Linked DNA regions of Caenorhabditis elegans. The protein of the gene in region 4 purifies or fractionates together with the protein of the main gene of each other region. This does not show direct contact. Each region holds a gene or a part of one and is shown on either strand. Other genes may lie near its edges. The genes, in order: ipp-5, try-14, ppat-1 and kgb-1.

Region 1 (5,248 bases), on a different chromosome or scaffold from region 4:
CAAAAGTAGCAAGTGAACAGTTTGCCTGATTAAACATCTGTTTTTATCAAAAATACAATTTAAAGTTTTAATTTAAATTTTAAAAAATATTTATTATTAAACAAAATTCTAAAAAGTTTTTTTTTCACAAAGCTAGTAAATGTTCAGAATTATTTTTTCCCTTCTTGTAAACTGGCAAATTTTTAATACTGAAATATACCGCAAAAACCTGAAACTCAGAAATGTTCTTAATGGAAACCTGAACAGCTTGCTAATTAAAATACATATTTTTGGCCAATTGATGTTGGCTATTAACCCTTACACTTTTTTCTAAGAAATAACAAGTGTTTTGTCCGTTGACAATTTTACAATAAATCCAACGAGGAAATACTAAAAAAAGTTCAATTTAACATTTAACCATTCAATGACGTTTTTTTTGTTTGAAACCTTAAGTGGATGTTGCTCTTGAGAAAGAAGAGCCCATCGAAATCTAGAATAAGCTCAAATTCTCATAAAAAACGAGACGTCTACTGCCTTGCACAAGATTATCGAATTGCTGGAGGGAAACCTCACAATACGACAAACCGAGATGTTGACAATTTTGTCATCCGAGCAAAAAAAAAAGAGGGAAAAATGCCATCAAATATTTGCCACTTGGCGCTCGACTCGTTAAACATTGTTTAATTTTTTTTCAAAAAATGTTCGAACTTTCATTGACCCATTTTCAAAACTTTAATTTTCTTAAGGAACAATATAAATTTAATTTTTCTACCAAGTGTGTAGAAATGTGATGCTGGGAGAAATCGAAAATTCAAATCATGTGTTGTTGTTCTTTCTTCTCATGCCGAGCAGCTTGCAATTTTCGGGCGAAAGCCCTCTCCACTTTTTCTCTAAAACTATTCGCTTTTTCTCTATATATGTAGCTCGTGCTCATGCATAATTTCGTCGTGTGTCGATTTTGTTTTCCGACGTTTTTGCACTCCGAGTTAAGTCACTAAGCTCCCAAGTTAATTTGTTTTTGATATAACCTTTTGAATAAAGACAATTTAAATTCTAAAAAAACTGAAAAAAAAACCGAAAAAAGAAACAACTAAGTTAGCAGTAAATTGGATTCTGTCATTTCAATTTACATTGTTGTTGGTTTAGTTGCATTCCAGTACGAAAAAAAAGGCGGCAAGACGCAATTTATTTCTAGGAGGTTTTGAATTTTGACCTGGGCCCGCCTCAATACCCGAAACCCGTTTTTCAAAGAGGTTTCCTTACAAGGTAGAAATATATCATTACACATCGTCCTTGGGCAATGCTATTCGTTTGTTTGCGGATAGAATTTTTTACTATTTTCAAGCAACTTAATTTCATTAGAAAAAAAAGTAAGTCAATTGATTTACAGATAATTTGAATGATTGACATTTTGTTCCTTGTTTAGCATTTTCTCACTAAAATTACTGAGCATTATTCAATAAAAAGTTTCTGCAGCACTCACTGAATGCACAATTCATCAAAGAGCAAACACAATAGCGTGCATTTATATCTTTTGTTTTTATCCATCTCAATGAATTCCTTTCCGTTTTGAAATTAAATCTCGCTGTCACATATTGCACATCCCACAACCCTAACTTCGTTTTATTGTTATATAACTTTCTCGTTTTCTCTTGCTCAAGCTCTTGTTCTAAACACTCGACTTTTCAATCGAACTGTTACTATTGTAGAAAATGGTTCAATATTTGCTGATAACGGCGAACGTCGGATCGCTGTTCGAGCCGGATGCTCGGTTGCACACTTCATGGATTAAAACTGTTGCGGATGTATGTTTAAATATTTTTGCAGTATTAAATTTAATAGTTCATAGCGAACTCACGCAATGTCTCATAGTCAGATTTTTGGTTCAGAATTACATAGTTTTTTACAAATGAATTAGTCCTATGTTTTGCGAATGTGATTTATTAATTCAAATACAAGTGTGAAAGCCAAAATTATTGAATTACATTTGAATTGGCTCCATCGATATTTTGGTTATTTAGTAACATTTTCGCATTGATGCTTCTTTTACTTGACCCTTACCGTCAGTACTTTCCTGATACGATTTTCTTAAAAATATGTTTCCAAGAAACATTGAAATTACTCAAGTAATAAATTTGATACAAGTAATTTTTAAAATTTTTAGCAAGTTGAAAGTGTTGACCCATCGTTCTTTGTCATACATCTTCAAGAAACCGGAGGAAAAAAATTTACTGAATGCTCACAGCAAGTCCCAATTATCATCAATCGTCTCTCCACAGCACTACCAAAATTTGATCTGCTCAGAGCATACGTTGACATCGATTATGAAGCTATTGAGTACACAGTAAGAATGACAATAAAATCGTTGTTTCTGAAAATTTATTCTTTGTTTCAGGCTCTTGGAGCATTGTGCTTTATAAAAAGATCCTTGTGGTCGAACGTTTCTCAATTCAACTTTCACACAAAGAAATACGAACAATTGACAAGCCCGAAGGAAGTAGTGACTCATGGGCTGGAAAACTACCCATACGTCGTCAAACACAAGTTTCCTAAAGATTTTTGGCCTTCTATCAAATGGGGACGTAAAGGATACATGCAAACAAGGTGGAAAATTGAAAACAAGTTAGTCCCAGTTTTCTTTTTTTTTTTTTAGTAAATTCCTTTTTCAGAGTTTTCGATTTTGTTAACGCACATCTCTTTCACGACGAATCTAACTTGGCCCTTATTCATGAGGTTTGTTTGAAAGAAAATGTTCAGAGCATATAAGGTGTTTTCAGAACCCACAACTATACAGCCAAAACCGGAAACGAGCACTTGACTTTGTGCTCGCCGAGCTTTCGTCAAAGGAAAACGGGTGCACGCCTCTGCTCTTTGTTTTTGGTGATCTCAATTTTAGGCTGGACTCTCGTTCTTTCTTAAACGTAATGGGTGACAAATTGCTAATTGGAAAACAAATAAAGATGTTTTCAGCGCTTAACTGAACGTACTGCTCAACATCCAGTCGCCGACCAAGAGCAGATGGGCTCCCTGGCCGATGGTCTTCAGGCTTCGGCTGCAAATCTTCAAGTAATCACCCACCCATCCGAAAATTTGAGGAGGACAGTTTCGGCTATTGAGTTCCGCAGAGAATCGGATAGCGATGATAGTCAAAAGTATGATTATTGAAAGTACAAACTTAAACAAGAACCAAAGAATTAAAATTTCAGCAGTTGTGTTCTACGGATCGAAAAAAAGAAATTTGACTATTTCAATCACAAAAAACTACTGGACGACTGGCGATCGTACAGAGATGACGACAAAGAAACCGAAAACTTTCAGAGCATGTTTGAGATGCATATAAATTTCCCTCCAACATACCCGTGGAGTGAAGATCCAGAAAATTCCGAAACTCTGATGAAGACTAGGGCACCCGCATGGTGTGATCGGGTTCTGATGAATAAAAATGCATACTCGTTGGTGGAAGAAGGAGAGCCTCAGTATAGGTCATTTGGAATGGAAACTTGTACTGGAGATCATAAGGTAATATTCTAATTTTTGGAATATTTTTATTAAAATACTATATTTAACAATGACATAATTTAGTGTAGTTTTATGTAGTGAGAGACAAATATCTTTTTTTAACAGATTTTTTGGTTTTTTTTTAACTCAGATTTTATAATTAAAAAAAATGCTTTGAAAAGGTTTTGAAAATCTTCACAAATGATTGAAACTTCTCAAATTAACTCATTTTTATTCAAGATTTGTCAGTTTGTCGTTGACTAGTTGACTAGAAAACGTTGACTGGAAGCTGTGAAAAAGAAATGGGAAAATTCATGTCAAATTTTTATTAAGAATTCGAGTGAATTTAATTTGATATTATATTCAGACTATTTTCAACAACTTGTTGTTGCTATAAAAATAATTCCTTAAAAAAACTTTATTTAAAAAATTTGAAATTTTTTTTTAAACAGTATATCAAAATAGCTTGAACAGCATTAAATAATACTATTTTTAAACTTTTTCAAAGAATTATTCAGAATTACAAAATAAAAGTTAACTTGTGTTCAAATTGAAAACAACTTTCCTGAATACTTGAATATCAAAAAAAAACATGTTTTAAATATAATTTTGAATAGCTTTATGATGATTACATTGGATTAATATGTTAAAAAAAAACTACACTAAGACCTCGTTTTAGTTTTTATTTTAAATAATCTTTTGAATTCTAAAACTCTTTAATCAACAAAAAAATTTGAATTATTATTTTTTCAGCCGGTCATGCTAACATTCAACATCTGACATGGTTTTCCATTTTCCCTCATTTTGGCCAGCCTCCATTTTTCTTTTTTTTTTTCTTCATCTCGAAGCTACGGATAAACATTTTCAAATTGGCTTGCGCGAACTCTGAGTTTCGAATACCTACTTTTTGTTCTCGTTGTTACTATCAATTTTCAAACTCTATCAAAATTCCATTTTTTCCCAGTTCGCTTTTTTCCGCTAGAAAATTTATTTTTTCATTGAATGATCAGAAACGTGTTTCTTTTCTTTTTTCTTTTTATTTTCATATAATGCACGGGGAACTCTTTAACTTTTTAAAACAATTTTTATCATAATCGATTTTTTGTTTCTTTTTCTCTCCATTTTCAGTGATGTATTGCTAGTCTTATACACTTTTTGCTTTGCCTGACACTTTCCATCAGTATCAATCAATTGTTAAAACGAATCATTTGATAAAATTGCGATCTTATTATAGATTTAATGAAAAGATGAACATTTACTCCAGAAAATTGATGAACAACCAATAAGATTTGTAGGTATTAAATGTATTGAAAAATGAAGCGGATTGAATTGGAAAATGAATCGTAAACATGTTTAAAGAAAGGATTATGGTTGAGTCTACAAGTTTTAATGATTTACACTACAAGAAAAAGTTGATTTATTAGAAAAATGTAAAGTTTTTGTTGCGTTATTCGGGTTGGTGAGGAAGCAGGCGGCGATATTTTTGGTTTCATTGCTGGATTGCCAATTGTGGGAGTGGAGCCTCGACAGTGAGCACGCCATCAGTCGAAAGAGTCGATGAGATTTGTTCTGGGTTGGTGCCTCTTGGAAGAAGGAATTCCTGGAAATTTGATTGTATAGATTAATGCAACTGAATGAAGAGTGACACCTTGGGGCCTCGCTCCATATTTTTAGCCCCAAGAGAACTGTTTGAATTCTAAAATAAAAATAAAAAACACCCACCTGGTTGTACTCTCTGAAAACGGTGCGTTGTGGGGTCTTCTCCTCGTGT
Region 2 (4,322 bases), on a different chromosome or scaffold from region 4:
TGAGGAAATGGGCGAAACCAATGGGAAATTCATTTTCTATGGCAACACAGAACGTGTATAGTTGTAGCATAGAGTTCAAAAGAGCAGACATCAAAACGCACGGCTTCAAAGAATTTTTGAACAGACAACTCATTAATTAGAATAAGCTAAACACTTATTTATTTTCTACGTTTACTTAGTTTTTTGGGTAAAATTTTGGTAATTGTGAAGTATACCAGGTTCAAAAACATTTTGCAATACATTTTCCGTTCATTTCTTTATAAAACAATTATTTAATTAAAAACTGAAATTGATTTGTATTTCCATGCTCAAAAAACACTGATCCCGAGGATAATATGAACACAAAGGGTCACGGACACATTTTCAAAATGGTTAACATTTTTGGGCTAGGTATGTACTACACAAGTACCGAAATATAAAACATTCGAAGTAATGAGAAGTTCGTTGTTTCAAAAAAATAGAATGTTTCTTTTTCATTTTTTCTGCAACAAACATCTGATTGATTTTCAAACACAATTATTACACTAAAAGATTCTTGAAAAAGACCGATGTTCATTTAGGTTTTTGCAACAATTTTAATTGAAACCAAAGGATAGAATGAAAGATGCAAACGTAAGAATAGAAGTACAGAGCAAACACAAAATGTGCACACGAAAATCAATACGTTATAAGGGACCAACAAGTGTTTATTGCATCATAAAAACATTTATTTCAAAGGGAATGAAGAATGAAAAAGTGGAATTTAAATTAGAAGCATTTGTCCTGTGCTTCAAAAACGCTAGCCTTGTCCACATTCTCAATAGCATGGACAAATGTATTGTCGCTAAAGACAACAAATTGCATGGTCTGGAAATTGATAATATTGGAAATCCACATAATGGAGAAGATTATTTACTTTGCCCCTTGCCCCCCGTTTCTTTTAATCTCATATTTCCTCCCGAAAGTCCAAAAGATGAGAAATCAATCACCGGCGTATTTTGTTGTCTGATAAGATTCTCAACACTACAAAATGCGGTTTTTTATAAAGAATTTCTATTACGTAATGTATTCAGAATAATTGCTCGTTGATTTTACCTGAACTTCTGAGCAGTTGACAACCACCATTGTGCTGTTGTCTTCCTTGTCCATCTATAAAAATCATAAGTTTAAAGACAAAATAAGCGATAAGCCTACCTCACGCCCGTAGAGACCAGAAACAATTCCTACTTGAACATATTTATTGTTTTCTACATCCAGAACACATTCCAGTGGTGCTCCTATATCATCCTGAATTTGAACAATTACTTTTTATAAAAACTAAGTAATGCAAAGTTTGAAAGTGTGTATTTCCAAAAAACAACAAAAACGCTTACCCAGCAAACACGACCTGTAGAGTTACTGTTAACTTCTGAGAACATGAGATTTTCTGTGTCAGCGTGAACATCAAGATCCAATACTTGGACTTTGTGTGAAGTAGCGAAGTCTTCCACTAAAAATATAATAACTTATTTAGTAGCTACATAGTTTTGTAGTTACGAACCATCTTCCGTAGTTTCAAATCCAATCACTCTACATTTGGAATCTTGAAGATCCCTTGGCACAATTGTACGGTAAGTAGCATCAGTCAAGCTTGGTTTGAAGTTGAGCCGTGCAACTCTTGGTGGGTGTGGCTCCTTATCGCAAAACTATAAAAATAATTTCTCTAATAAGAGTTGCAAATACTAGAGTCTTTTTTACATGATCTTCATTAACCGCATCGATTTTCATCAGAGCCAAGTCGCCGTCAATTTTCACAGCAAGCATTGCTTTGTTCATGGTAGCAGAGGAATCCTTCTTTTTGATAATAGCTTGTGCAATAAGGTTCCTAAATAAATATTAAATTGCCTTCAAATAAAAATCCATTTCAGCGTTTCTTCTAAACCAACAGTTGCTATACATATATTTCTATAAACTATCTCTGGCATAGTTTCGTCTAAGTTTTCAATCGAAAATTGTCAGCACATTCCGCACAACAAGCCAATTCACGAATCTTTTGCGTAGTCGAATTCAGAGCAGAAAAAGTGTAAAATGTAAGAGACTATAATGCGCTATGTTCGTTCGTAAGCTTCTTATTTTGCTACGGGAATATTTAAAAATTTGAAACCATACTTTCTGGTGTCTGGGAAACATTTCGAGCTGGTTAGCACAACGGATGGAGACAAAAGAGTTCCCGTGCAAGTTGAGATATTCTTCAGTTTGGTATCCTTAGTGAGTACCTGAACATAAAACATAAAATTCGAAGCGAGTTGAGCAAGTCTTACCTTCACCAAGTACTGATGGCGTTCCCATTTTGCCGGGTCCGCAATGTACATTGAAAACACGAATGCAAGTAGAGAGGAAACGATGACCGCTCGAAACATCTTCTTTCGATCAAATGATTCGAATGAGGATTTGACCCGACGAGCATCGCATTGATATTGTTGTAATATCCGCTTTCAGAAAAATCAAGCAAATGCATTCTTTAATACACCCACACATCAAGAAAAAGAAAATATTTATTGGATAGAGAGAGGCAAAAAAATGTTTCAAAGATTCATCACAAGTTTGACAATATTTGAAAATGAAATTTTGAAAGCTCTCATAGTCAAAAGCTAAAAAATAAATAGCAGAAAAAGCGAATCGACTGATTTGGAAAAAAATATACCCAGAGTTTTGAATATCATAATGGTGATTGGAAACATTTTCAATAAATAACGGGTAAACTTGGCATATGAAAAGATTAATTTAAAGTTCCGTGTGAGAGTCATCATTTTCAGAAATGACATTATCCGAAGGGTTATCAGAAGAATGTCCAGAAATGACTTCCCGGATTTCGTCATCATACGTTTTCCATTCTCCAATAATTCTGGCGGCTGAGTCGAGCTTTGGCTCTTTTGTGAGCGGGTTGTTGCACTGAAAATTGTTAATTGTTCACGGAAATTTAAAACAGATCAATGGCACAGCATTTCAGTTGTGTTCAATCAACTTACCAAGTCAATAGTCTTTGCATTCTTCTTGCTTCCATCATCGCACCAAGTCTCACACCAAAGCCACTCTTGTGGAAGCGATTTGATCTTAACCTGATGGATCATGTTATTTGGCAAGTCTTGATCCAAGTTAGCCAGACTGTTTGGATCGCCAGATAGTCCTTGATATTGTCCACGAAGACGATCTCCGGCAGCGATTTGACGGAACTTTTGAAGATCAATAACGTAGAGAGCACTAATGTGATATCTTCTCCCAGCGAGATGGTTCGCCCAATATCCTTGCTTCCAGAATCGGAATCCGTCCATCTCCTTTCTACTTTCACAGAATGGCACATATCCGTATGGCGCATTTCCAAGATCAAACTTCATCAGCTCCATCAAATCAGCACGCACCACCTGGTCAGCGTCCACAAAGATCACCTTTTGAACATCAAGTGGGAAGAGTACATCAAGGAAAAGAATCTTGAATCCCCACATAATACGTTGTTTCTCCTTCTGCTGGTGAAGCCACCTTGGCCACTTGTACTCGATCAGTTCATACTCGAAACCATAGTGCTTGGCAAGAGTTGGAAGTGTCTCTTTGAATTGTGGCGACAGGTAGTTCTTGAGAAGCCAGAATTTAACTGGATGCTTCGTGTTCTTCATGACCGAGACAATCATGATTCTCATGAACCGTTCGTACAAGTGACCGGATGCGAGAGAAAATACATTGATCACTTCCTGGGTTTTTTCTTTGCTGCTCACCAAGCTGAAAATAACATTATGAGATTATTTCAAAAGAGTTTAAACAAAATGCTTACTTGCTAAGACTGCTCCAAACACCTTCTTCATCGTCGGAAAGAAGATTTCTCTCCTCCATGCCTTCACGTTTTTCAACACGAACTCTTACTGATTTACCAGTGAATGAGTCAATAACAACTTGAAGCACATCCTCCCCAATCTTCTCCGCTCCAACATGCGATCCAATCTTGTAAATCTCACTAGATTTTCCATCACGGATCTCTAGTTTCCAAGCACCAGGATTTGCTTTAAGTTGGAAATATCCTAAATTAGCCATAACGATTGTATCAAATTGTTTAGGGTTCTTGTCCGTTCCCAAAGTGAACTGCAGACCGCGTGGTGGTTGACCACTAACTTCGTCGAAACACTGTCCATCGAGAAGTAAGTGTTGGAGTGCAAACTCGGCAGTGACATCTCCGTTGGCTTGTTCCATCTTGATGTTATCCAAATCATACTTGGCAGAAACGGCTTCCACTATCCATGAGTCGGGAGCTTGCAGCGAAAGTGTCAGAAGTTGCTTACTGGGAAGATTATCGAACCTGAAATTGTGAAATTGAA
Region 3 (5,066 bases), on a different chromosome or scaffold from region 4:
ATTTATTACGCGCATCTAGTCTGAAACTATGTGCACACCAGTAGGCCAGTAGGCAGATATCGGGTTGAAAACAGCGAGGAAGGCTGTCGGGTGAACTTGTCCGCCTGATTTGGACTACTTTTTTTTTAAAGCAGAGCTAGAGAAATTATAATAAAATTCAAGAAAAATGTATAGACCTAACAAATGGGAAATCAAGCGTCGGAAAAATTTAAGAAACCACTATTGATGAAACCCATAGCAAAGATTTTTGCGGCAAGGAAGCATAGAATTTAAAAAAAAATTTAAAAACTACTTCTAAACTAGAATACTTTTCCCATTAATATGAGTGGTTGAATCTTGATTAAATATGTGACATATAAGTCACCACAAAATTGAGCAAATACTCAAAACTACTTAATAGTTTTGTGAGTCACTTTTATAAACGTTCAAAACTTTCTTCAAAAATAATTTTCAAGTTCACCTATGTACCTTTAATATTTTCTAATTTACAAAAATCTAAACGAATATAAAAATGGATTAAACTTACATTTTGTTCTTCCACTGATTGACTTGGCATTTTCTTGAGCAACTTCTTTTTTCAGTAAAACAAATTTCAGATATGTGTGCTTAACTTTCAAAAGATATATCCTTGACTGTCTCCTTATTTTTTGAGCAATTTTGATAAGTTTAGCCAAAAAGTAAGTGGGCGCTCATTTTCGCGACAATCTTTGCTGTCTGCGTCTCTTCGTCTCACGTGCAATTTCGCTGTTCAAATATAAAACAATGCACACACATACAGAAAGGCTATTTTTGACAGGGAGCTCAAGTAAAATGGAGAAAAGCGAAGTTGTTCGGAAATTTTTTGAAATTCAAAAACCTAATGTCAACTTGTAAATACAACTGGGTGGTCAATGTTCAATAACAAACAGAGGGATATTTTGATTTTTGAATTGTGTTGGAATTTCAAAGAACGAAAACCATTTTACCAATTCAGATATTAACAGGAAAGTATGTAAAGAATATTTTCGAAGTCCATATTGACAGTTGATAACTGTTGACGTGGGTGAACCTGACCAAGCACATACATCCGCAAAGTTGGGACGGACGGGCTCTACGGAGTCCAAGTGACAACAATATCTACTTTCTAGACACAACATGACACTCTAAAAAAATCTGCTCAAATAAATTGAAGTTGGCAGAAAAAAAAAAATTTTACAGAAAAATGTTGTCAGAAAGTTGCAAAAGTTTGATAACATACTCACAAACCTTTTTCAAACAGGAATTTCATTAGATTCAGTATTACATTTTAAAATTAAACTCTCCAGATTTCCATGCATCTGCTGCGAAAGTAAATTACAGATTCTGAAAGCCGAAGATTTTAGCTCTCGCGCCAGGTTAAGTTTTATTTCATTCACATCTTATAGTTATCGTATTCCCGAGCAACGTGTTTATTTTCAATTAAACCTAAAAACTCCTTTTAAAATCAAACTTCAATTAGACATTCACTTGTTCTTATCAGCGGAAAAAGTTCAAAAACCTGGCTCTATCGACAGAAGTGAACTTTTCCATGAAAAATAGGCAATAACTTTAAAAACATAGCAGGTGGAGGGTGTAAAGGTTTTATGATTGGCGTATCAAACATTCAGAGCATCGAAAAAGATAATAACATGCACATTAGGCAATTGATTTCTGACGACGATCACACCGAACAATGTGTGGTATATTTGGGATTGTTGCCGCTGGAAATTATGAGCATTTGAATGTTCTTGCTGCAAATGGATTGGCTGCTCTTCAACACAGGTGGGGTTTTAAGTTTAAATTTTTAATAAGCTCTGTCTCAAAAAGTTTGATTTCATACATCTCCTACATTGGTTTCAGTTTGAATTTTTAACTGTTCAGCTCCTCATTCCTAAATATCTAATTTTTCAAAAAGCTCTCGTTTTCTCTTCCCGTTCATTCCGCTTCTGCTTAACTTAAGCCATCGTTCCACAAGAAGGCAAAAGTGTAAACTCCCTAATTGTATCCGAGCCAGTTTAGTCTGACTAGACGTCAATGGAGAAGTTATCAATTTTGCGTCAGAAATACGCTGAATCGCCAACATTAGAATCACGTTGCCAATTGGATGAAAATGACGCGTATGTAGAGATTGAACTGGCGTCTCGTGGGTCACAGCAAACAGCGCTAACCACTCGGACACACGACCAATAAAGTGCTTGTAGCGTTGCAGTGGTTGACATTGTTGCAAACAAGTAGATTGTGCAGTGATTTTGAGTTTGCAAAAAATCGAAATAGCTAAATGAATAAGTCTAGCATTTCTTGCAAATATTGTCTAGTTTCTAAATTGTTTTCCGTGCGTGATAGAAAAATAAAATACTAAAACAAATTAGTTGCAAATTTGCAATTCTTATCATGTATATTTTGCAGAGGAACTGAATCAACAGGACTCGTTGGTTCAGATGGAATCACTCGAGACCACGTGGAAATTATCAAAGGTCATGGACTTGTCCGAGATGTGATTACTGAAGATAATATCTCAAGAATGAATGGGCAATCGATAATAATTGGTCATAATAGGTATTCAACTGCAGGAAAGAAGAAGTCTGGAATCAATTGTGTACAACCATTTGTGGTATATACTGCAATGGGTACTGTAGCAATTGCTCATAATGGAGAATTGGTTGATGCGAAACAAAAAAGAAAGGAAGTACTTCATGAAGGTGTTGGTTTATCAACTGACACTGACTCAGAGCTTATTGCTCAAATGATTGCAAAAGCGATTGCTCTGAATGTAAAATGCAAGTATGGACAAGAGATGGGTGATATTACAAGAGTGAGTTTTTGAAAAACATGAAAATTCTTAAACCAAAAAACTTCAGGAGCTCGCAGTAACAATGTCTGCACTAAACATGTCATATTCTCTACTAGTAATGACATTTGATAGACTATACGCAATTCGTGATCCATTTGGAAATCGTCCACTTTGTGTTGGTACTGTATATTCTAAAAATGGAAATCCAGAAGCATTCATTGCATCTTCTGAATCTTGTGCATTTCCTGCAAATGCTAAATTAGATTTCGAAGTGAGACCAGGAGAAATTGTGGAATTATCGACAGGAGGAATCAAGTCGGTGTGGCAGGTAAACTTACATATATCTTGGCCTGCCTACGCGCCTACCTACCGCCTTCTCTGACCTCATTTTCTCATGTATGTATTTTGTTAGACATTAAAATTTAAAAAAGTGTTTTTAAAGTTTTGCAAATACATGTAGTTTTTAGACTTTCTGGTTATTTTTGGTATTTTCCAAAATTACAATCGAGACAGATGGGCTATGCTGAAAAATCAGAAACCTGGAATTATATGAGTCATTTCAGATGAAACCGAATACTCCTCTGGCTATGTGCATATTCGAATATGTCTATTTTGCACGAAATGATTCAGAAATTGAAGGACAACAAGTACAAACTGTTCGTGAAGAATGTGGAAAAACGATGGCTCTTGAAGATGATCTAGAAGCAGATATTGTTGGAAATGTTCCAGATTCTTCGCTGAGTGCAGCAATTGGATACGCTTCTCAGTCTGGAATCACATATGAACCTGTTTTACACAGAAATTCATATGTTGGAAGATCATTTATAGAACCAAATGATGAGATGAGACAAAATGCGATTAAAATGAAATTTGGTAAAATAAAGAAAACTATTTAGAAAGACTTCATGAATTCTATTTCAGGAGTATTGAAGAAAAAGATTCATGGACAAAGGATTGTGTTAGTAGATGATTCAATTGTACGTGGAAATACGATGAGAACTTTGGTAAAAATGTTAAGAGATGCTGGAGCAAAAGAGGTATTACCCTTGTTGTTAAAAATAATGATTTTTCACCTTATAAACCGTGAAAAAGGTCTTGACACGAGCAAAAATTTTCAGCTACCGTATAACGCGAGTAATTCTCCGTTTTTGCAGATTTTTCCAATACATATATTTGTTGTAAAACTGTGCATCTAGATGTTCAGCAAATATTAAGAAAACAATAGCGGAATACATAAAAACGAGAAACTGGAGTATACGGTAGAGTACGGTATCTTAGAAATTTCGATCGTGTCAAGACCGCATTATTCAAATAATACCTCTAAATTTAAAGGTTCATCTACGAATTGCTTCCCCGCCTGTAAAATTCCCATGTTTTATGGGAATCAACATTCCAACCACAAAGGAATTGATTGCTGCCGAAAAAACAATTCCAGAAATCTGCCAATTTGTTGGAGCCGATTCAGTACGGTATCTTTCGGTTGACGGTTTAGTTTCGGTGAGTTTGAACCTCACTTTCTCCTCAATTTAATTTTTTTTCAGTCTGTTCAAAAAGGAATCGAACGAGCTGCCAACTTCTCTCCAGGACATTGCACCGCATGTCTCACTGGAAAATATCCAGTTGCTATCGATTTATAATTAGTGTTTGAAAAGTTTGAATAGATTATTTGTATTCATGAAAAACAAAATCAATTCAATTAAAAATCAACAATGAATGTGTATAAAAATAAGAACAACAACAGTTTGCGGAAAAAAAATAAAATGATTAACAACAGAAATCAGGACGCTTACAAGCTCTTCTTCTTTCCACGAGATCTCAATGTTTTCTTTTCGACAGCAGCTGGACGGGCACTTGCAGCGACGGATTTGAGGATTGTCTGGAAAATTAATATAACCAAATTTTATTTAAAGTTTTTCGTACGTTGGATAGCGTAGATTTAGCCTGTGGAGTAGCAGCAGCAGCTGCCTTCTTTCCTGCGCGAGTTTTTGGAGTGAACTGTTTGGGTTCCGGCTTTTCAGTTTTAGGAGTCTTGATGACAACCTTTTTGGTGACTGGAGTGGAAACTTTCGGAGTTGCTTGTTTTGGAGTCACGGCCTTTGGAGTAGCTGCTTTTGGAGTTGCAGCTTTCACAATTTTCGGAGTCGTGCTTTTCGGGGTGACATCACTGATAAATTGAACCTCATTGTCAATGACCTTCTTAAGTGGCGTTCTTGGTGTTCCAGACACAGAGAAATCATAGTTGATCCCCATATTCTGCAGCTTCTTCAAAGTTTTGTTG
Region 4 (6,631 bases):
TCCAAAAAAATATTTTCCATCCGCTTTTCTTAATTCTAGAATAGAATACTAAAAGAATCATTTGAAAACATTTCAAGGCGTCTCTGTTTCTCTTTTTGTCCAAATGTCCATATACTTTATTTCCCATCTTTATATCAAAAATCTTTTACTACCCAAAAGTCGATTTTCTGTTGTCCAGCCCACTTTTCAGTCTTCAAACCTCATCTTTTACTGAATGTTCAATTTTTGTGAAATAAATGTACTTATTCAAGACCACCATTGTCCATCTGTGTGATTTAATGTCCGGTCGTTCTGGATTCCCATTTTGGCTTCATTTTGTTTTTGAGAACAAAAATTAAAGCATCGTTTTGAAGAAAAAAAACCTATAGGTCTCCCAGCTAAGTGAGGCGCGGACTTCACGATCGGGTTCCCTGCCGCACTATATATTCGGATACATGCACTGTGATTGACGCTGTGAGGCCGGCGCGGGCGCCGCTGTGGCGACCTCATAGGGGACCTGGTCCCTAAAAAATTAATTTATTGATTTAGAATTTTGAATTTAAACCTGACAATACAATCGAAAAACAATCCCTACTTTATAATGAGATGCAAATTTTGTGGAGCTAAGGTTCAATTTCTTATACTTAAAACAAAACAGTTCCAAAAAATCTGTATTCCAAAATAATTAACATTTAGTGATTATAATCAATATAGAAAATAAGCAGAGAATCACCAGAAAATATGGCCAACTAAGTGACAGAACACAACTGAAAGATAGATTTTTGAAGAAAAAAGTAACACAATTATTTTTGAGAGAAAAAGAAACAATTTTAGGTTTTTTATTATTTATTATCCAGTGAAAATGTCGTGGTCGGCTTGATAGCGTTGCACTTCGTTGAAAATTAGCTCTTTCCATTCAATAAGTGTCTTATCGGCAAAATCAATTTCCTGATCGTATCGATTTTCTGATGCGGGGGCGTTTACCTCATCGTCCTGTAAGATTTGAGATGCATGATTTGATTGTTTTTGTTTAGTGCTAAAATTGTTGTACCTTAAACCACAACTTAACATATGGATGATTCAGTGCATCTTCAACTGAATACCTTTCTTCAGGATTGATTTTCAACATATTGAACAGGAGATCACGAGCCACGTGTGCTGAAAATATGATTTATTTTTCAAAATCCTGTATAGCCTGACTCACGTGTCAAATGGACCCTTGGATTTTCAGTCTCCGGCAGAAAATTGGTATCAGGAACGATTTCACTGAATGCTCGTGCCTGATGACGTGGCAACGATCGAACATACATAGCAGCTGACTGACCCAATTGACTAATGAAATGATCATCTGGTGTTCCCAAAACACTATAAATTTTAGTCCATTGATCAATTCGATCTTTTCCAGGGAAAAGTACGGTATGGTTGATCATTTCAGCAAATATACATCCGACTGACCAAATATCTACTGCAATTATGAATTGAGAGTGTTGTTTGGAAGCGGCCGACACGTTTGGGGTTTTACGCGCACTTTACATGCGGATACGTACGGCGTGAGGCTGTTTGAGGCGGCTCACCGGAGCGCAGATGGAAGTCCAGCCCAAAATTACAAAAATTTTTTTTTTTTTCGAACAAACCTTTTTCCGAATAGGGAAGACCTAATATAACTTCGGGGGCTCTGTAGTATCTTGTCACCACATAATCTGACATTCTCATCGATGTGTCCACATTCTTCTTCCGGGCCAATCCAAAGTCTAAAACTTTTAATACACATCGATCGTTGACGACAATATTCGATGGTTTTAAGTCCTGAAACTTTGAATTTTTCAGAATGTTGTCTATAGTGGTAGATACGTACACGATGAATGACTCCCGAATTGTGAAGATGCTTGATTGCGCACAAACTCTGGTAGACGAAGAATGATAATGTTTTATGGTCCAATCTAATAATTCAGAAAATTTTTTTAGAATCTAATTATGTGTTTATATTCAATATTCAATCATTGAATCATTGAACAATCATGAATAGGAGCTCAAATGTGCAAGTGTTCTAAACTTTTTTAAAAATTCTGATTTTTGGTAGTTAACTAAAATCTTGACCAAAAATTTTCAAAACACGCTGGAATATTTTTTTTATTTTTTTACGCGTGTTCTGGTAGCTAACTGTGCGTGTTTTGATGATGGTTTCGGCACATTTCCAAGTGGGTACTCAAGGTTGGATAAAAATGTATTTCCGACCTTGGGAAACGCGAAAGACGGCAAAATTGAAAGTCTAGCTTTTGCCCTTGTTTCTTTCTTTTTTTAAAAGTTTTTTTTGTTGAAAAGTGTCAGCAATAAACTTATTATTATTGTTGAATATGTTTATTAAACGTGAAATTGAGACAAAAAAGGTTGATATTTTGGAGTCGTTCTGAGTTTATTAGAGCAAAAATGAATCCGCCACTCCTTCTTTAAGATATCGTGCTTTTCCTATTGTTTTATTTTTATTCTTTTGTTCTCAAAATCAATAACAGAAAAATAATATTTTACGTCTATTAGTCTCTAACAAGTCCATCATATACAGTTTAAATTACGTCTAGTATACTAGATATTACTATAAAAATTGGTATTACTGAAAAAAAATCATAAAAATCAGCCACCATGTCTCTTACCTTAATCGATGTATAACCTCGTGCAAATTGTGTGTCATTAATTCCATAACTAGATATACTTCTCGGAACGTTGAAAGTGAAGTGTCCGGTGTAAACGCGTTTAGTAGACGGATTATCTGAAATTTGGAGCATTTTTTCTAGATTCCAACTGAATCTTACATTTGGGTGTTTGATAGTCGTTAGCAGTATAAACTCTCGATATGCTCGCTTTGCGCTCATTGTCATCACAAATGGTTGTTGCATCTTCTTGATTGCCACACGTTGCGTTGTTACTAGGTCATCGGCCATTCTAAATGTAATCAATAAAAATTATGGCTGTTCACTTAACTTAGAAATTCTGTTTGAAGTCATTTGCGCGATAATTTAATTTCAGTCACTTTCATTCTTCTAGAAGATCTTCTTGATTATTGATTTTTTCAAGCTTTTTCAATCTTAGAGGTGGAGCAGCGGGCAATGACGAATAACAATGATCTCGAGACCTCTACCTGTTTTAAAAGTTTTTTGATAGGGCGGTCCGTTTTTTTTCGGGAAGTCATCATTGTGTCAGTGTTTGAAATTACGCAAAACCGAAGAAAAGTTAAAGTGTAAAAATATACAATTGAAAGGCAGTGAGACATTCAAAGATGGAGTACGACCAGAGAAAGGATTCTCTGAAACCAGCCATATGTTTCTAAAATGACTAAAATTCATAGTTCTTTCAAAAAATTTATTTTATCTTTTGGTATTTGAACATTATTGGGGCTATAATTTGCAGTAAAGTGTGAAATGTTTGAAAAAGTAAAAATTATTCGAAAATTTGGCAATCTATCAAATCTTTGATTAACATCTTTGAAGTGTTAATATTTGTTTGTCTATTGAAATTTTTTGTTTACTGCGTTAAAAAATTCGCCCTATTATTTTTCCTTCAATAAAATATTAATGTAATTAGTAAAAACTCACACGACAGTTCCTTGGGCGCCGGCATTCAGAAAACTAAGGTTTACATAACGAGTTGGAATAGTGAAAGTGCTGTCCGCGCCGGCTATCGGGTCCTGAAAATGAATTTGAATGGAGGTAAAGTATCTAGTAACAAACCCTAATTGTAACTTGATGAAATCTAGACGCATCATACTCGTTATGTACCGGCAGATCCACTTCCATCTTATTGTGCCTAAAAAGTTATTAGTTTCAGGGAGAAATACTTAAAATTCAAAAATTAAATATAAACGTTAGTCATTAAATTTCAGCTTTTCTTAAATTTTTAAAAGTATAATTTCAATTTCCAAATAAACGTTTGAAAAAATCTATAAAAATTTCATAATTCTTATCACTTGCAAAAATGTTTCTGATTTTCCTTTCCAACCGGAACTGATAAAAATGCCTTAAAATTGTTGAGTTTCATCAAAACTGAGTCATTTCAACCCACGTAGAAATCAATAAATCTTAAAAACGGAGATTCTAACAGTTTGGAAAATTATTTTCTTTCCAAATATTGACTTTCCATTTCTGGAGTGAAAAAAAATGAGGGAGGGGATATATGTACATATTGTTAGTGAAATACAGTTTTCATTTTTTGAAGTGCAAACTAAACCTGACAATGTTTAAAAAATAGACTAAAAATAGAAAGATATGTAGTTTAATAAATAATCTTTGCAGCTAATCTTTAAATGTTTAATCATAACTTTGGATTTGTAATAAAGAAGTCATTTTTTAACATTTAATGAAATTTCAGCGTTTTTGTTTGGGTTTTTATGTTTTTTAATCGACTCATAAACTCATATTTCATATTTGCATGACGCAAAAAATGTTCACACTTCAAAAATTTGACTTCAGTTGTGAATGATCTTACACTTTTTGCGCTTGGTTTTGAAAGGATGTTCGTATTTAGGAAACAAAAGTCAACACTAATTTCAATGGAAAATTTAAATATTTTAGGTATCAAGTTGACTGGAATGTAACATCCAATAGTGTGTTTCTTTTTTTTAAACCTTTATTATAGAAAAAATACGATCGTACAAAAATAAACAACGACGCAATGACACTCCACCGTTTCTAAACCCCGCCCAAGATTTCATTTGCACTGAAATGTGTCGGCCGCAGTGCAAATGAAATCGTGGGCGGGTCTCAGAAACAGCGGAGTGTCGTTGCGCCGTTGTTTATTTTTGGGCGATCGTATTTTTTCTATAATACTCTAATTACTTTTTTAGTGGGATCACCACCAGGCAGTGTACCTGACTCCCAGATCCGCAGTGCATAGCGCTTGAAGAACGGATCGTCCTTTAATCCTTTAATCCTTTTCTCACGAACTCTACAATAAATACACGGGTTACTCGAATGGTTTATTCTAGCAATAGTTCGAGTTCGGGGTAATTTTGAGGTATTTGCTGTTAATTATTAGTGAAATACATAATACTGCATCGAGATAATTGAAGTCTATTATTCTCAACAAGTAAAATTCAAACTAAAATTGTATTAAAAAAGCAGGGGAAATTTTTTATTTTTACTTAGATTCGAAAACTTGAAGAAAAAAGGCAGTATACCCAGCCTGCCAATTTTTACTTTTACACTTTAAAGACACTTTAGATTTTGTTTTTTTTAAATCATAAATAACCTTTTTAAAAAGTTATAATTAAAAATTAAATAGTACAGGAATGATCTATATACATATATATATATATAAGTTGACAATGCGAAAGAGAGAAATAGTGTAGGTATTAAAAGTTACGTCACTGAGTGAATGTTTGTGTGCGGAAGAGAAGCGATAGGCTGAAGCCAAATAGGAGATGCAGAGAAATAGAGATTTCATCCTTCAGAGAGAGACACACCTAGGATTGAAAATGTGTAGAGAAGTAGAGAATCAGACAGAAAAGAGACACCACTCTGTTTTGGAGAATAGAGTTGCCGTAGAACAAATCGACCGCCTATAATAAAAGCTTTGAAAGTAAATTCTATAAGAAATAAGTTTAATATGTACGTTTTAAGTTTTAAATATCTTTTTCTCAATTATTAACATTTATGACAACTCAAAGCGCTACCCAATTAACTTGGGCCATGAAATCTCGTAGGTGCCTAATCTCCCAAAGTCGTGGGTCCACATTCTGTGTGGTCTTTCCTGTGGGGTTTTTTGGTTGTTCTTTACAATTGTTAAATAATACTTGATTTTGTCTGTTTGTTTCTCTAATTCTTTTCAATCTCTGCATTATTCCTTAGATTTCCCATTTGTTAGTCATCGGAAGTGATAACTCGATGCTAAAATGAAACACAGAGATAGTGAGTTGGATAATTTTAAATTATAAGGTGAAGTAGTGGTTTTTTTGCCATAAATGACAGAATACAGTCCCAATTTACCAAATATAACTGTTAAAAAATCAAAAAATAATAATAAATTTTTTATGATTTTTTCAAAAAGGCCGATTTAAATTTGAATTCTCGCACAAATTAATGGCGTCATTCTCGACATTTTGTGTTTTACGGCCAAACTAATTGGTTTTTCTTTATTCTTACAATTAGTTTTATAATTTGAAACATAATTTTTCAATTTTTCAAACATTTTTCAAACTTGATAATTGCGAAGAAACTTACCGAAACTCTGAAATTGGCTTAATTATTCAAAATTAATCATACATTTTCTTTTAGTCTGAAAAATTGACAGACTGTATTTCAAATTATAAAACAAAGGAAAAATGAAGAAAAACCTATTAATATAGGCTGAAAACGCAAAAGTTTCGAAAATGACGTCACTCATTTGCGCGGGAGTTCAAATTTAATTCAGTCCTTTTTTTTAAATTTTTGTAAAATTAAGAAAAAAATCATTAAAAAATTAGAAAAATTTCATACATTTTCTACATTTTTTAACAGTTATATTTAGTATATTGGGTCTCTATTCTGTCATTTATGGCAAAAAACTTACAGACGCTACTCCACCTTTAAATTTGGAACTTCTATGTATATTCTTTGAACACTTACCCAATAACCACAATCATCTCGTTTTCTTCCGAGAATTGTGAAATATTTTCGTAACAAAA

Evidence for each region.
Region 1: the proteins of kgb-1 (region 4) and ipp-5 fractionate together in Caenorhabditis elegans (co-fractionation; one large-scale study listed by BioGRID). This does not show direct contact.
Region 2: the proteins of kgb-1 (region 4) and try-14 fractionate together in Caenorhabditis elegans (co-fractionation; one large-scale study listed by BioGRID). This does not show direct contact.
Region 3: the proteins of kgb-1 (region 4) and ppat-1 fractionate together in Caenorhabditis elegans (co-fractionation; one large-scale study listed by BioGRID). This does not show direct contact.

The regions. Positions count from the first base shown.
Region 1 is NC_003284.9:6,029,781-6,035,028, forward strand, and holds ipp-5 (putative type I inositol 1,4,5-trisphosphate 5-phosphatase), read left to right. Parts: upstream 1-1,688; 5' UTR 1,689-1,691; coding exon 1,692-1,784; intron 1,785-2,143; coding exon 2,144-2,323; intron 2,324-2,374; coding exon 2,375-2,601; intron 2,602-2,648; coding exon 2,649-2,712; intron 2,713-2,756; coding exon 2,757-2,900; intron 2,901-2,949; coding exon 2,950-3,131; intron 3,132-3,185; coding exon 3,186-3,498; intron 3,499-4,230; coding exon 4,231-4,257; 3' UTR 4,258-4,703; downstream 4,704-5,248. Other genes in the region: hsp-25 (SHSP domain-containing protein), read right to left, coding at 4,967-5,077, 5,200-5,248.
Region 2 is NC_003284.9:7,493,187-7,497,508, forward strand, and holds try-14 (Peptidase S1 domain-containing protein), read right to left. Parts: upstream 2,406-4,322; 5' UTR 2,379-2,405; coding exon 2,280-2,378; intron 2,235-2,279; coding exon 2,128-2,234; intron 1,844-2,127; coding exon 1,717-1,843; intron 1,665-1,716; coding exon 1,520-1,664; intron 1,469-1,519; coding exon 1,353-1,468; intron 1,267-1,352; coding exon 1,174-1,266; intron 1,129-1,173; coding exon 1,075-1,128; intron 847-1,074; coding exon 748-846; 3' UTR 538-747; downstream 1-537. Other genes in the region: uggt-1 (UDP-Glucose Glycoprotein glucosylTransferase), read right to left, coding at 2,743-2,910, 2,988-3,732, 3,785-4,303.
Region 3 is NC_003281.10:4,687,655-4,692,720, forward strand, and holds ppat-1 (Amidophosphoribosyltransferase), read left to right. Parts: upstream 1-1,625; 5' UTR 1,626-1,690; coding exon 1,691-1,779; intron 1,780-1,979; exon of another isoform or gene 1,980-2,117; intron 2,118-2,403; coding exon 2,404-2,809; intron 2,810-2,855; coding exon 2,856-3,116; intron 3,117-3,351; coding exon 3,352-3,661; intron 3,662-3,709; coding exon 3,710-3,825; intron 3,826-4,120; coding exon 4,121-4,285; intron 4,286-4,329; coding exon 4,330-4,425; 3' UTR 4,426-4,517; downstream 4,518-5,066. Other genes in the region: tag-243 (Costars domain-containing protein), read right to left, coding at 527-556; nifk-1 (RRM domain-containing protein), read right to left, coding at 4,575-4,664, 4,709-5,066.
Region 4 is NC_003282.8:405,120-411,750, forward strand, and holds kgb-1 (GLH-binding kinase 1), read right to left. Parts: upstream 4,915-6,631; 5' UTR 4,838-4,914; intron 4,754-4,837; exon of another isoform or gene 4,643-4,753; intron 3,778-4,642; 5' UTR 3,768-3,777; coding exon 3,702-3,767; intron 3,659-3,701; coding exon 3,567-3,658; intron 2,917-3,566; coding exon 2,787-2,916; intron 2,744-2,786; coding exon 2,628-2,743; intron 1,920-2,627; coding exon 1,835-1,919; intron 1,786-1,834; coding exon 1,614-1,785; intron 1,445-1,613; coding exon 1,184-1,444; intron 1,138-1,183; coding exon 1,031-1,137; intron 973-1,030; coding exon 829-972; 3' UTR 502-828; downstream 1-501. UniProt on the Caenorhabditis elegans protein: Mitogen-activated protein kinase which is an essential component of the JNK pathway composed of mlk-1, mek-1 and kgb-1.